Linked DNA regions of Xenopus tropicalis. The protein of the gene in region 1 purifies or fractionates together with the protein of each later gene. This does not show direct contact. Links are inferred from orthologs where the notes say so. Each region holds a gene or a part of one and is shown on either strand. Other genes may lie near its edges. The genes, in order: mex3c, mycbp2 and ap2a1.

What was found.
Region 2: the proteins of mex3c (region 1) and mycbp2 purify together in Homo sapiens (affinity purification with mass spectrometry; 3 studies listed by BioGRID and IntAct, with this or other methods). This does not show direct contact. The link is inferred for Xenopus tropicalis from reciprocal best matches to the Homo sapiens genes MEX3C and MYCBP2.
Region 3: the proteins of mex3c (region 1) and ap2a1 purify together in Homo sapiens (affinity purification with mass spectrometry; 3 studies listed by BioGRID, with this or other methods). This does not show direct contact. The link is inferred for Xenopus tropicalis from reciprocal best matches to the Homo sapiens genes MEX3C and AP2A1.

What each region holds. Positions count from the first base shown.
Region 1 is NC_030677.2:204,603,825-204,608,065, reverse strand, and holds the start of mex3c (RNA-binding E3 ubiquitin-protein ligase MEX3C), read right to left. Parts: upstream 2,833-4,241; 5' UTR 2,807-2,832; coding exon 2,521-2,806; intron 1-2,520. UniProt on the Homo sapiens protein: E3 ubiquitin ligase responsible for the post-transcriptional regulation of common HLA-A allotypes. Binds to the 3' UTR of HLA-A2 mRNA, and regulates its levels by promoting mRNA decay.
Region 2 is NC_030678.2:126,183,488-126,187,138, reverse strand, and holds part of mycbp2 (E3 ubiquitin-protein ligase MYCBP2), read right to left. Parts: intron 2,579-3,651; coding exon 932-2,578; intron 641-931; coding exon 471-640; intron 1-470. UniProt on the Homo sapiens protein: Atypical E3 ubiquitin-protein ligase which specifically mediates ubiquitination of threonine and serine residues on target proteins, instead of ubiquitinating lysine residues.
Region 3 is NC_030683.2:117,153,617-117,157,267, reverse strand, and holds part of ap2a1 (AP-2 complex subunit alpha-1), read right to left. Parts: intron 2,809-3,651; coding exon 2,679-2,808; intron 2,001-2,678; coding exon 1,899-2,000; intron 1,808-1,898; coding exon 1,699-1,807; intron 1,611-1,698; coding exon 1,460-1,610; intron 1-1,459.

The DNA.
Region 1 (4,241 bases):
TGGTCAGCTGGCCCCTATCAACCCAAATACCACAGTGCTGAGGCTAAGGGCAGGGTTAAAGTGTCTGCTCCTATGCCCCAAATCCTTACATCCATAGCAGGGTGCTTGGGCTGTGGTGGGCATTTCCCTGCCAGTTCAGCAAATGCTATATGCGCCATTAGCTCAGCAACATGGTAACTGCACTATGGGGGGCTATTAATGGGGTGACCGTTTCACTGTGAAGTTGGCCAGATACTGCCCAATCCCCCACAATACGTAAACACATGACCCGCAGGATGAAAGGATGGGTACTGTACCAGCGGCCATACAGGTGTATTGTTCTGTGTATTTGAGCCAGATCATCAGAACTTTAGGAAGAGAAGAGGAGCTGCAGCAGCTCATGGCCGGTATAGTGAATGGACAGAGAATCATAGCCAATCAAAGCCCATCTTACACTGGAATACATACCCAGACAGTCTGCACGGTCAAAATCCTAGAAAGCTAGTGGTTCTATGTTCCCCTTCATTAACAACACTAAGCCCCACCCCCAGATATACACTCAGGGACCATTATCAAAGTAACTACTGGTAAACAGCTCTAAGCCCCGCCCACCAGGCACAGCCATGAGGGTAAGTGCCCACTCACAAGCGCTATTTATGCTTTAGGCTCTTTTTCACTGAACAGCAACTCCCTATAACCATCAGGCATACGAGCCGTGTATTATGCATGTAACCTCCCCAGGGGCACCCATTATTAGCAACTGGCACCCACTCAGTAGGGGGACAGTTTCCTGTGACACCCACCCATTATTAGCAACCGGCACCCACTCAGTAGGGGGACAGTTTCCTGTGACACCCACCCATTATTAGCAACCGGCACCCACTCAGTAGGGGGACAGTCTCCTGTAACACCCACCCATTATTAGCAACCAGCACCCACTCAGTAGGGGGACAGTCTCCTGTAACACCCACCCATTATTAGCAACTGGCACCCACTCAGCAGGGGGACCGTCTCCCATAACACCGACCCATTATTAGCAACTGGCACCCACTCAGTAGGGGGAAAGTCTCCTGTGACACCGACCCACTGTTAGAGACTCGCACCCACTCCTTAGCCACAGGTGTCCACTCACCTGGGGGTCTGTAAATATGTGGCCCCCACAACTGGGAACTAGGCATGTGACTCCCGGGGGGGCCTGCCCATCATTAACCATAGGTGCCCACTCACTTGGGGGTCTGTATGTGGCCCCTACAGCTGGGAATTAGCCAGGTGACTCCCAGGGGGGCCTGCCCATCATTAGCCACTGATGCCCTTGGCCAGGGGGACCCCCCCCATCACTAGCCAATGTGGAACTGTGGGTAACCCATAAACACCCACCGACCAGGGAGTCAAACATGTACTTGTATCCCCTGTAGAAGAGTGAGCTCTTGGGCCCAGGGTTTGCTTTCCCAGTCTCCTGACCCCCCCCCCCCCCCATGGGCCAGCAGCCTGTGAGCAGCCATTGTAGCCCCATTACCCCCCCATGGGCCAGCAGCCACTGTAGCCCCATTACCCCCCCCCCCCCCATGGGCCAGCAGCCTGTGAGCAGCCACTGTAGCCTCATTACCCCCCCCCATGGGCCAGCAGCCTGTGAGCAGCCACTGTAGCCCCATTACCCCCCCCATGGGCCAGCAGCCTGTGAGCAGCCATTGTAGCCCCATTGCCCCCCCATGGGCCAGCAGCCTGTGAGCAGCCACTGTAGCCCCATTGCCCCCCCCCATGGGCCAGCAGCCTGTGAGCAGCCACTGTAGCCCCATTGCCCCCCCCATGGGCCAGCAGCCACTGTAGCCCCATTACCCCCCCATGGGCCAGCAGCCACTGTAGCCCCATTGCCCCCCCCCCCATGGGCCAGCAGCCATTGTAGCCCCATTACCCCCCCCATGGGCCAGCAGCCACTGTAGCCCCATTACCCCCCCCATGGGCCAGCAGCCACTGTAGCCCCATTACCCCCCCATGGGCCAGCAGCCTGTGAGCAGCCACTGTAGCCCCATTGCCCCCCCCCCCCCCATGGGCCAGCAGCCTGTGAGCAGCCACTGTAGCCCCATTGCCCCCCCCCCCATGGGCCAGCAGCCATTGTAGCCCCATAACCCCCCCCCATGGGCCAGCAGCCACTGTAGCCCCATTACCCCCCCATGGGCCAGCAGCCACTGTAGCCCCATTACCCCCCCATGGGCCAGCAGCCTGTGAGCAGCCACTGTAGCCCTATTACCCCCCCCCCCATGGGCGAGCAGCCACTGTAGCCCCATTGCCCCCCCCATGGGCCAGCAGCCATTGTAGCCCCATAACCCCCCCCATGGGCCAGCAGCCACTGTAGCCCCATTACCCCCCCCATGGGCCAGCAGCCACTGTAGCCCCATTACCCCCCCATGGGCCAGCAGCCTGTGAGCAGCCACTGTAGCCCTATTACCCCCCCCCCATGGGCGAGCAGCCACTGTAGCCCCATTACCCCCCCCCCCCCATGGGCGAGCAGCCACTGTAGCCCCATTGCCCCCGGATACTCACCCTGCCGGCCCACAATCTCGGCCACATGCTCAGAGCTGGGCACAGGCACCAGTTCATTGGTATTGACGCTCTTCCTGCGGCCCGCCTGCTCCGCACTGCCCGGGGGGAAGCCTGCCTGACACCCCGCACCGCCCATCAGCAGGGCCGCCGCGTCCTCCGCAACTTCCTCCCCGGGCCTCTCCTCCTCCTCCTCCTCCAGGCTCAGCGCGGCCAGCCTCAGCCTCATCTCCTCAGGCTCCAGCAGCAGCAGCTCGGCCCCGGCTCTCCAGGAGGCTCCTCCCGGCATGGTGCCCTCCTGCTCTCGGCACAAAGAGCTCAGGCGGTCAGTGGCGCCTCTTCCCCCGGACACTCATCCTGCCGCAGCCCCGCTGCTCGGAAATCGTACCCTGCCGCACCGGCCCCGCTAATTTCCGCAGCACAGGGGCCCGGCCGCTCGCCTTTTTTTCTCCCCTTATTACTCTCTTTGTTTCCCCTGACTCGTTCGGACACACCCCTATTTCCCGGCCCAGAGCCTGAGGAAGAAGCTGATTGGTTGGCGCGATGAGCGAATGGATAATACTGTCCTCTGATTGGTTGGCGCGATGAGCGAATGAATAATACTGTTCCCTGATTGGTTGGCGCGGCAGAGGGTTTCGCTAGCAGATGGCTATAAGGAAAGGAGGCGCACCCTTAGCCTGGAAAGGGAAGAGGAAGTCTGGGATTGAGTGGGCGGGGTTATTGCGTCACCGTGCTAAAACTAAAACCGAGAGGATATGGGCGGGAAAAGTGATATCATGTTTGTTCTGGGAAGTGTGAAAGGATATCGATTGTCTCGATTAATAATCATATTACTAATAAAATATAATCTGCCGAATGTGTAACAGGAAGTTGCAGCCACCCCCCCCCCATGATATGGAGGAGTGACGTTATTCAGAAAATACATTGGAACTGCAAATCCCTTAGTGTCCCATTAGGGTCGCAATCTGGCCAGTGAGAATGATGCTTATTGTTATTAATAGGGAGAATTGCTAAAAATATAGGAATGCTGGTGTTATTTCCAGAAAAGTTCCATGTATAATACTGCATATCCCGCCGTAGGTGGGGATACCGGGAGAAGATCTGCTCGCCAAGCGAGCGAATCTTAGCATGTATGGCCACGTTTAACCTGGACATACATTGAAAGATCTGCTCATTTAGAGATGTGGCCAAATGAGTTCTTTCCCTGATAGGCCCACCTTGAGTTGAGCAATACCAGACTGATGTGAATGTTTGGCCTTTGGGCCAAAATGTCTGATCACAATGACAGGGATACAGGCCGTCGGAGTGAGGACTGCATCAACGACTAATGTGGTCATTACTCCGACATTTATTAATCCTGCCCGATTGATATCTGGTCGATTTTCGGTCAGGTAGGCCCATACACAGGCAGATAAGCTGCCTTCTCAGACTGAAGGAGCCAAATTGGCAACTAAAATCTAGCCACCTAATGTGTATGTTTTGGATTGGACAATCCCTATAGTTGCAGTACATTGTTTTCTCTTTCTAATGCCTCCAGGCCTGTATTTCTAAATTGTGCACCCCTAGGCCAGATGGTCTCCGCTCGCCCCCAACCCATGAATTTCCACACAAGCACATACACAAATCTTCAATTGTGGGTCCGGAGCTCTGGGGATTTTGCACGGAAGATTAAAAGAGGTACCTTCTTCCTACTGTGTCTCATACCACATGGCCCTTATTCCCTG
Region 2 (3,651 bases), on another chromosome or scaffold:
GGAACAAGGACATTCTTTGACAAGGCAATAGCTGCATGAAGATTTAATAGACATCATTCAAATTGATAGAAGTTATTGGAGACTTGTGTAACAGGATACTATCAATTTGGCTGATGTCTATTGGATCTACATGCAGATACTACCTTATCAAAGAATGCCCCAGTCTCATAACCATTCTGCTAATAAATAAATCCAACAGGACTGCTTTGGCACAAATATGGATTCGTGCAGTTAGTCACAATTAAGTGCAAGGTATTGTTTAATGATTACAGAGGAAAAAGGTAAATTTAAAAAAAATTATTTAAGAAAAATGGATTGTGTGGTTAATCAAAGAGCAAATCTGAGCACTGGGTTTATAGGAACGACAGACAAAAAGCCAGTCAGTTGAGCAGTGTGTACAAAAAACAAACATGAGAATGTGGAATAGATATGTTATAAACAAATAAAATAATGTAAATTTGACTGCAAACCTTCTCCCGAACAGCCACTTGTTTTTCTCGAAGATATTTTTCTCGACAGCGATCACAGACCAAATACCAAGTGCTTCCTCCAATTCCCCCATCCCCACAGTTTCCTGCCCATCCACCACAAAAGTGACCAATGCTGTTATAGCCTTGTCCTCCCGCATATCTTCCACAACCTACACACAATGTCACCGGGTAAGGTGAAAAACAAACACAGAAACATTTAAAATAATTCACATTTCTTTGAACAAATGCTAAACATAACTTTGTAGTGATTAGGTTACCATAGCTTTAGAACATATTTACAAACATGCATGTTACAATGCGACTAATGAAGACTGTGAGTAAATATTAAATGTAGGATTATGTAAGATATGCACTGCAACATAAAGAAATGTGGAAATATGGCTACAGAAAATATTTTGTTGCATAAATGTTACTCTAGTCTAATTTCGTTTTCAGCTTACCTGGATGTGCTTGCCGCATGTGATATGTCACCGGATAAGGGTGAGACTCTCCACACAGCTCACAGATGGTATCTTTTTCTGGTCCTCCTACAGCAAGCTGTGCCATTTCGCCAAACAAATTACCACGGGGTCTGGACTCTGCCTTTTCTTTTTTCTTTTTCTCCTTTTTTGCCTTTTTGTTATCTTTGTCACCGTCTTTCTTTTTTAGCACAGCACAAGAACCAGGGCTTGGGAAAATCATGTTCTGTGATGCAGCTTTTATGGTGGCCAATGAAATGTCTTCCCAAAAAGCCACAAGGTGTTGCAGTGTTAAGGGAAGGGGGGATTTTGTCTTAACAGAATGCTGACTGGGTAAGTCAAAAGCAGAAGTTTCATGTTTGCCATCCTCATATTTTTCATGGAGTGGTGGCTCTTTTAGCATTGATAACACTTTGTTTTTGTTGATACTGCCCATTTTTGAAATATCTGGTCCATGTGGGGCAATGTGAAACATGTTTAGTGCAGAAGAAATTTCTATTGAGTGTCTGTTTTTTAATTTAACCTCCTTTTCTTCTGAGGGTTGTTGATTGTTAAGACTGCATCTTATGGGTGCGTGTTCTTTGGAAAGATCTGGATTAAATTTAAGAAAGGAAGAGCAAGCCATTGCATCATGAACTATACCTTCATGCCAAAGAAAAGCTGCAAACACAGCCCGTGCACATTCAGCCACAGATGGGGACATTGCTTCCTTTGCTGGCTCAATAGACTTTGAGGATTCTCCCTTGAAAAAAAAGTTTGATTTTTCTTTTTTAGGCCGAACATGCCTACTCGTACTTTTGCGGCTAATTTTAGGAGATGCTCTTGTATCTTGCTCTTCTTTAAGCGGTGCCTTTCCTATGCTAAAATGGACTTTACTTGAGCCATCATCAACACTCTTTACCTCTGCATTATCCTCACATGTACTGTCTGTAATACTGTTTGTTTTTAAAGTACTGGATGAGCAAACTTCAACAACTTCACTGTGAAGGTTTTCTTGAACCACATGTGGAGAGGGTGCCCTGTTTTCACTACCGCCTGCAGGTTTGGCATCTTTTGGAATAATTTTTGGTTTAGGTGAAGTGGACCTTCCCCTTAAGGGTTCCGTTAAAGGGACTTTCTTTTTACGTAATGTATCTGGATCAAGCGTGTAAGAGTCTGACTTAGATCTTTCCCGAGGAGGCTCAAGCTTGGACTTGCTAGGACCAGATGTTTTTTGAGGTAGGCTTTTCTCTTGTGGAGATGCAGAGCGTGGAGAGCTTGCACCAGATGTATTCGGCTTTCCAGCAGGCACAGTTTTTGGCTTTGGTGAAGAGGAACGTGAGCCAGGTCCTGGTGATTCAGCTCTAAGACCAGAATTCACTTTACCATCTGTCTTTAGGATTTGCAGAGTGTTGTGGTTGGGAGATGAAGATCTGCTGTGAGAGTCTGATCTCAGCTTTGCAGCATCAGACTTCAGTAAGAGAGATTCACTTGCAGTAAGGCCTTCGTTATTTTTGGGTTTCTTCTGATCAGCATTAGAGCGGCTTATTCGTCCGTCAGGCTTTGGAGATTTGCTCTCAACTCGGTTTTTTGATGGCAAATCTGATTTGTTCACTGCAGATGTAGTTTTCGCAAAGTGCCCTTTGTCATCTGAAGAGAGATCACAAAAAAGTGAAATCATTATCTCAACTTCTCATATATCATTAATTACATTGGAATACTTTATGTGCCATTTGTATGTGGAAAAAAAAGGGGGGAACTAAAAATATTTTCTAAAACGAAGACTGAAACACAGCAAGCACAAAATGACAATATGGGGATCTAGTAAAAAAAAATTTCATCTTAATGACCGCACCAGATAAGACCTAAAGGACATTTTGCTATGAAGTGCATTAAGAATCAGTAAAAAAAAACAATTATAACATTCCATGTTTAGAAAGAATAACAAAAAACACCCATAACACGATATCCCTTTCCATTGTCAATTTTTTCAATTCAAGAACCGCTTGGAGATTCTGACTTCTGGTCAATTGTCATAGGTTAAATAAAGAGCCAAAAATGGCTCAAAAGGTTGCTGTTGCCCCTGGATGTAGAAATAAAGGCTTTTTAATCTTATTATGGAATGCTGCTTATAATCAGCTGTGTTAATCACAATAGGTCAAGGAATATATAAATACGTGTTTAAAATCCCAGAATTCCAGTGTCCCTGCGGTCACAACGGAGCAGGGCTGATGCAATTGCAATGGATTCAACAGAAGTACTACAACTGTGCTCCAATGCAGTTGCAAATTGGATGTAATGGTTTGCCTGGTATCATTTCCAGTGTTTGCTGTTCAAGTGAAGTTTATGCCCGATTCTTTAGATGCAAGCGTGCTGCACCAATTGAAGACTAAGGGAACACCTGGTTTTATGCACAACTGACTGCAGGGAAATTGCTGGGACTGTAACTGTACTTGAGGACATACATGAGCCCTCATGTCTCATGCAACATACAACTCTATTCCCTATTGGCAGCAGTGGACCAAGACAGACCCATCTTTAGGGTTCCAGTGTTACAGATGAAGTAGGGTTATAGATTATAACTATTACTAACAACAGTATTTACTGTACTGATGTAACTACAGCTGCTGAATCACTACAAAAAAAAAAAAAAAGACTGCTTTCCATCATATCATAAATGAAAGTCTGATTTCAAACTCAAGTAGCAAAGACGATTATCTATA
Region 3 (3,651 bases), on another chromosome or scaffold:
TTTGGCACTCTACCCTCACCCCGATTGTGGGCAAAAGGAGGTAGTAGGGGGTAAGAAGTGTTCGTGGAGTGGAAGCTGGTGGTGGTGAAGGAACTGGCAACTGGGATAGGGTGCCTTTGGGGTGGCAGGCCGGGTGGGCCTTGGACACCCCAGTCCAACACTGTATCCAGGTCTCTTAAGGGCAGCTACAGACTGGTAAAAGTGTTGTTTTGTGGTTTTACAGGGGTGTACAATGCAGACTGAGGTTACAGGTATCGCATAAATACACTTTATTTTTACAGAATCGCAACATTTTGGTTTCTGTGCACCATTTTATACGAGACAGGTTTTGATTGTATAGTGAGCCGTGAATGACGTTGTTCATCTTTCTGTGCAACAATAATAACTACTGAATTATACTCTAGCCAATCTATCATATCCTATTTAAACGTGTGCCCTGTAAGCCAACTCAGCTAAGCTTTCCAATCTTTCACATTCACTGTGCCAGAGCCATCTACAAGCAGCGATGTAGTAAATGTTAATGAGCATTTTGGATATAGGGTAATTGAGTCTACTTTGTCTTGCACTACTGATAACAAACAAATATTTAGTCATCATAATCCCTGTCATTAAGCAAGACAAGAGTCTTTCTGTTTGCCAGACAGGAAACAGAAATAATGGGAGGAGTAGCAGGAAACAAATTCCTCCTTGCAAGCATAAAAAGTGACAATAGCTCTTTCGCCACTAAAGCGGCTTTCCAAAGCTGCAGTATTTTACGCATTGCTCAGGGGCAAAAACTTTAACTTGTGGGTCTGCATTTAGGGAAGAAACTCTTAACTCTCCCTTTGCCGAAACAGTACGAGGTAGCACAACAACACTGAAACTGTTCCATACACACCAGCTTGCACTGCAAATAACAATGAGGGAAATGGTCTAGGGTTCAGGATAAGTGAATGCAACATTCAACAGGTGCTTTTCTAAGCACTTTTGTCATTTACATTCATTAATTGTTTTTAAGATTTTGAAGATATTAATGGAAATAAGTATTATGAATATAAACTAATTTTGTTGCAACAGACCCAGCCGCTGGTAAGTTTCCGACTGACTAGTCAAGAATCTAGTCGGAAGAAAGAAATAGGGAGGTTTCTCTGTTTAGGAAAGATGTGAGAAAAGTATCTGAGGTTTCTAATGCTTTTCCTAACCAGAAGAACATCAGCTTAGCCCTCTTTCTTTCCCCTGACAACTTCCTCAACTGGATCTGAGCAGCAGGTGGTGCTGTTATAACAAAATTCATAGAACATATTTCCCTTAATATCTTGGAATCTTAAAAAAAAAGTAAAGTGAAGTTCAAAGTGTTTCAAGGCACCCAAAATGCCATTAATCAGTAGACATTATGTTAGACATCATCTAATTCCTCTACGTGCACATAGTACAGAAGGCCTGTATAGAGAAGCTTTCTGTGTATCAGTATATAACCTACCTGTCATAGTGAATAATTAGGCTAATGGCCTCAAACAGTATCGCATTTTTTGCATTGGAATGTTGCACTTTCTTTGATTTGGGAGGCTCCTGTGCTTTGTTTAGGATAGTTTCAAGACACTCCACCAGGCGCCCCTTCACAGCAGCATCCTCTGAAACAACAGGCACACAGACAAGTCAGAGAGAGGGAGCGCCCTATGGCTATTATGGGGGATGCAGGAAGACTGCACGGAGAGTTACCTGGAGGTGGGTAGCACTGGAGAAGGCGCAGCAGTTTTACAGAGAGCCAGGGAGCCGGCACAAAGTAATATGTATAGTCCTGCAGGTCTGTGGAGGCTGATGAGACAATCTGTAGAGGTGAGAAATAGATAACATATAGGCACTTATAGAATGAAACATTGCCACCGCCAGTAAGAATTAACTGTAGAAGGAAACTTTACCCGGCTTAGACGTGATACCGCCAGTGAGACGCAGGTCTTGAAGTCATCTGGGTTTTTGCGACAGAGGCAGGTGATCAGACTGACAGCGGCTGTCACCACTCCCTGGAACAAAGAGCAATGCGTCCGTTAGTGAATGATGGATGGAGCACAACAGAGATCCATCACAATCCCATCACAACACTGCACACTTAACTTACGGCAGCTCAGGTATAAAAATATTATATAAATTCATTTTTAAAGGCTTTATAAATATACACACACAATACAAACACCATATATTATTATAGTTTCTGTATTAGCCCTAATATGTTCAGTAGCGAGTCGCTCACCCCTTGTAACTTGATATGTTATTTAATTATAGGGATAATGGGCATAATAGCAGTTCTGGGCATCCGGCCAAACTCAAGGTACACAGCAATGTATTGTAACACACCAGTGACCCGCAGCCGCAGTGTTGCTCATCTGAACAATGAACCTAAGAGCACTCATGGAGCAGTGCTGTAAAGCTATGTATGTGTTTCTCATCTGAACTGCAAGGTAATCTGCTATGTGGGCAACACACATCACTGTAAGTTCTCCATTTTAGTACCTTATAGGCTGCCCTAAGATGCAAAGACAATTGGGAGTTTGTACAGAGATAGAAAGAATAAAACCATAACAGCTAAAAGTAGCAGCTACTCGTATGCCCAAGCAATATGAACCTTTGTCGCCCATAGAATCTGAGGCTTCAATTCTCTAGACTGGTATTACACCTGACAATTATCTATGGGAGACACATACCATGTGTTGATCATTTAGAAGGTGAACGACTCGCGATGTCCATTCCCCCATAGGTACAAGGTCTGGGGAAGTTTTGTATAACCTCAGTAAGCAAAGGGCCGCACTCTGCTTTACACTGTCCATGGTGTCCCTGCCAAAGAAGCAAATCATGTATTTTAAAATAAATAAATCAACGTTCCTGCAAAGCCTGAGAAGTTAAATGAATTGCCTAGAGATGCGCTGAATACAGATTCTTATTAGTAAGATTCAATTCTGCTGGCCTGGCACTGAGCCTTTTTTCTTATAGGAACTGAATTATTGACAAACACAGAAGCGCTGTAATTGCTTAACCGATCCTGCTTAGCTATAATATGCAGCAAGGTGCAGGATACTTATGTAGGTTACTAATTGTCTTTCCTTATATAATGTCACTAAACGAGGTGCCCAATAATGAGAGTTTCGCTTCTTACATTTCTTCTAGTCCCAACAGGTCAGTACAGATGGGCAGTATTGCTTCCCCCCCAAGACTTGGAGGTAGGGCCTATAACATAGCCAATCAAAACGAATCCTGGCCTACAAGACCACCTGACTTCCTCTTCACCACTCTTATACATTACAGGAAACAAATAAATTGGGATGGGAAACCCTGTAGTGACATGTTGGAACCAGAAGAAATGGAATTTACGGCAAGAAGGTAAGAGAAATTCTCATTTTCATCTGTGTCCCTCCCGTGTCAGTACAGACTGGATCTATCAAGCCACAACCCCAAAACAATGAAATAATATTGAATAAAACCAACAGATGCTAAAAGGCCAAACATAACATTCACTAAATGGGGAAGCTGATATAACACAAAATCCCTGAAAACGAGAGGCATAAAACGCTTAAGTGCATAAGTACAAGAATGGCCCGGGGCATGATAAGCAATTGACCTCAAAAACTACAAAACCCAATCTACCAAATACAGCATAAGATGAGAATAAAGCATCACAGA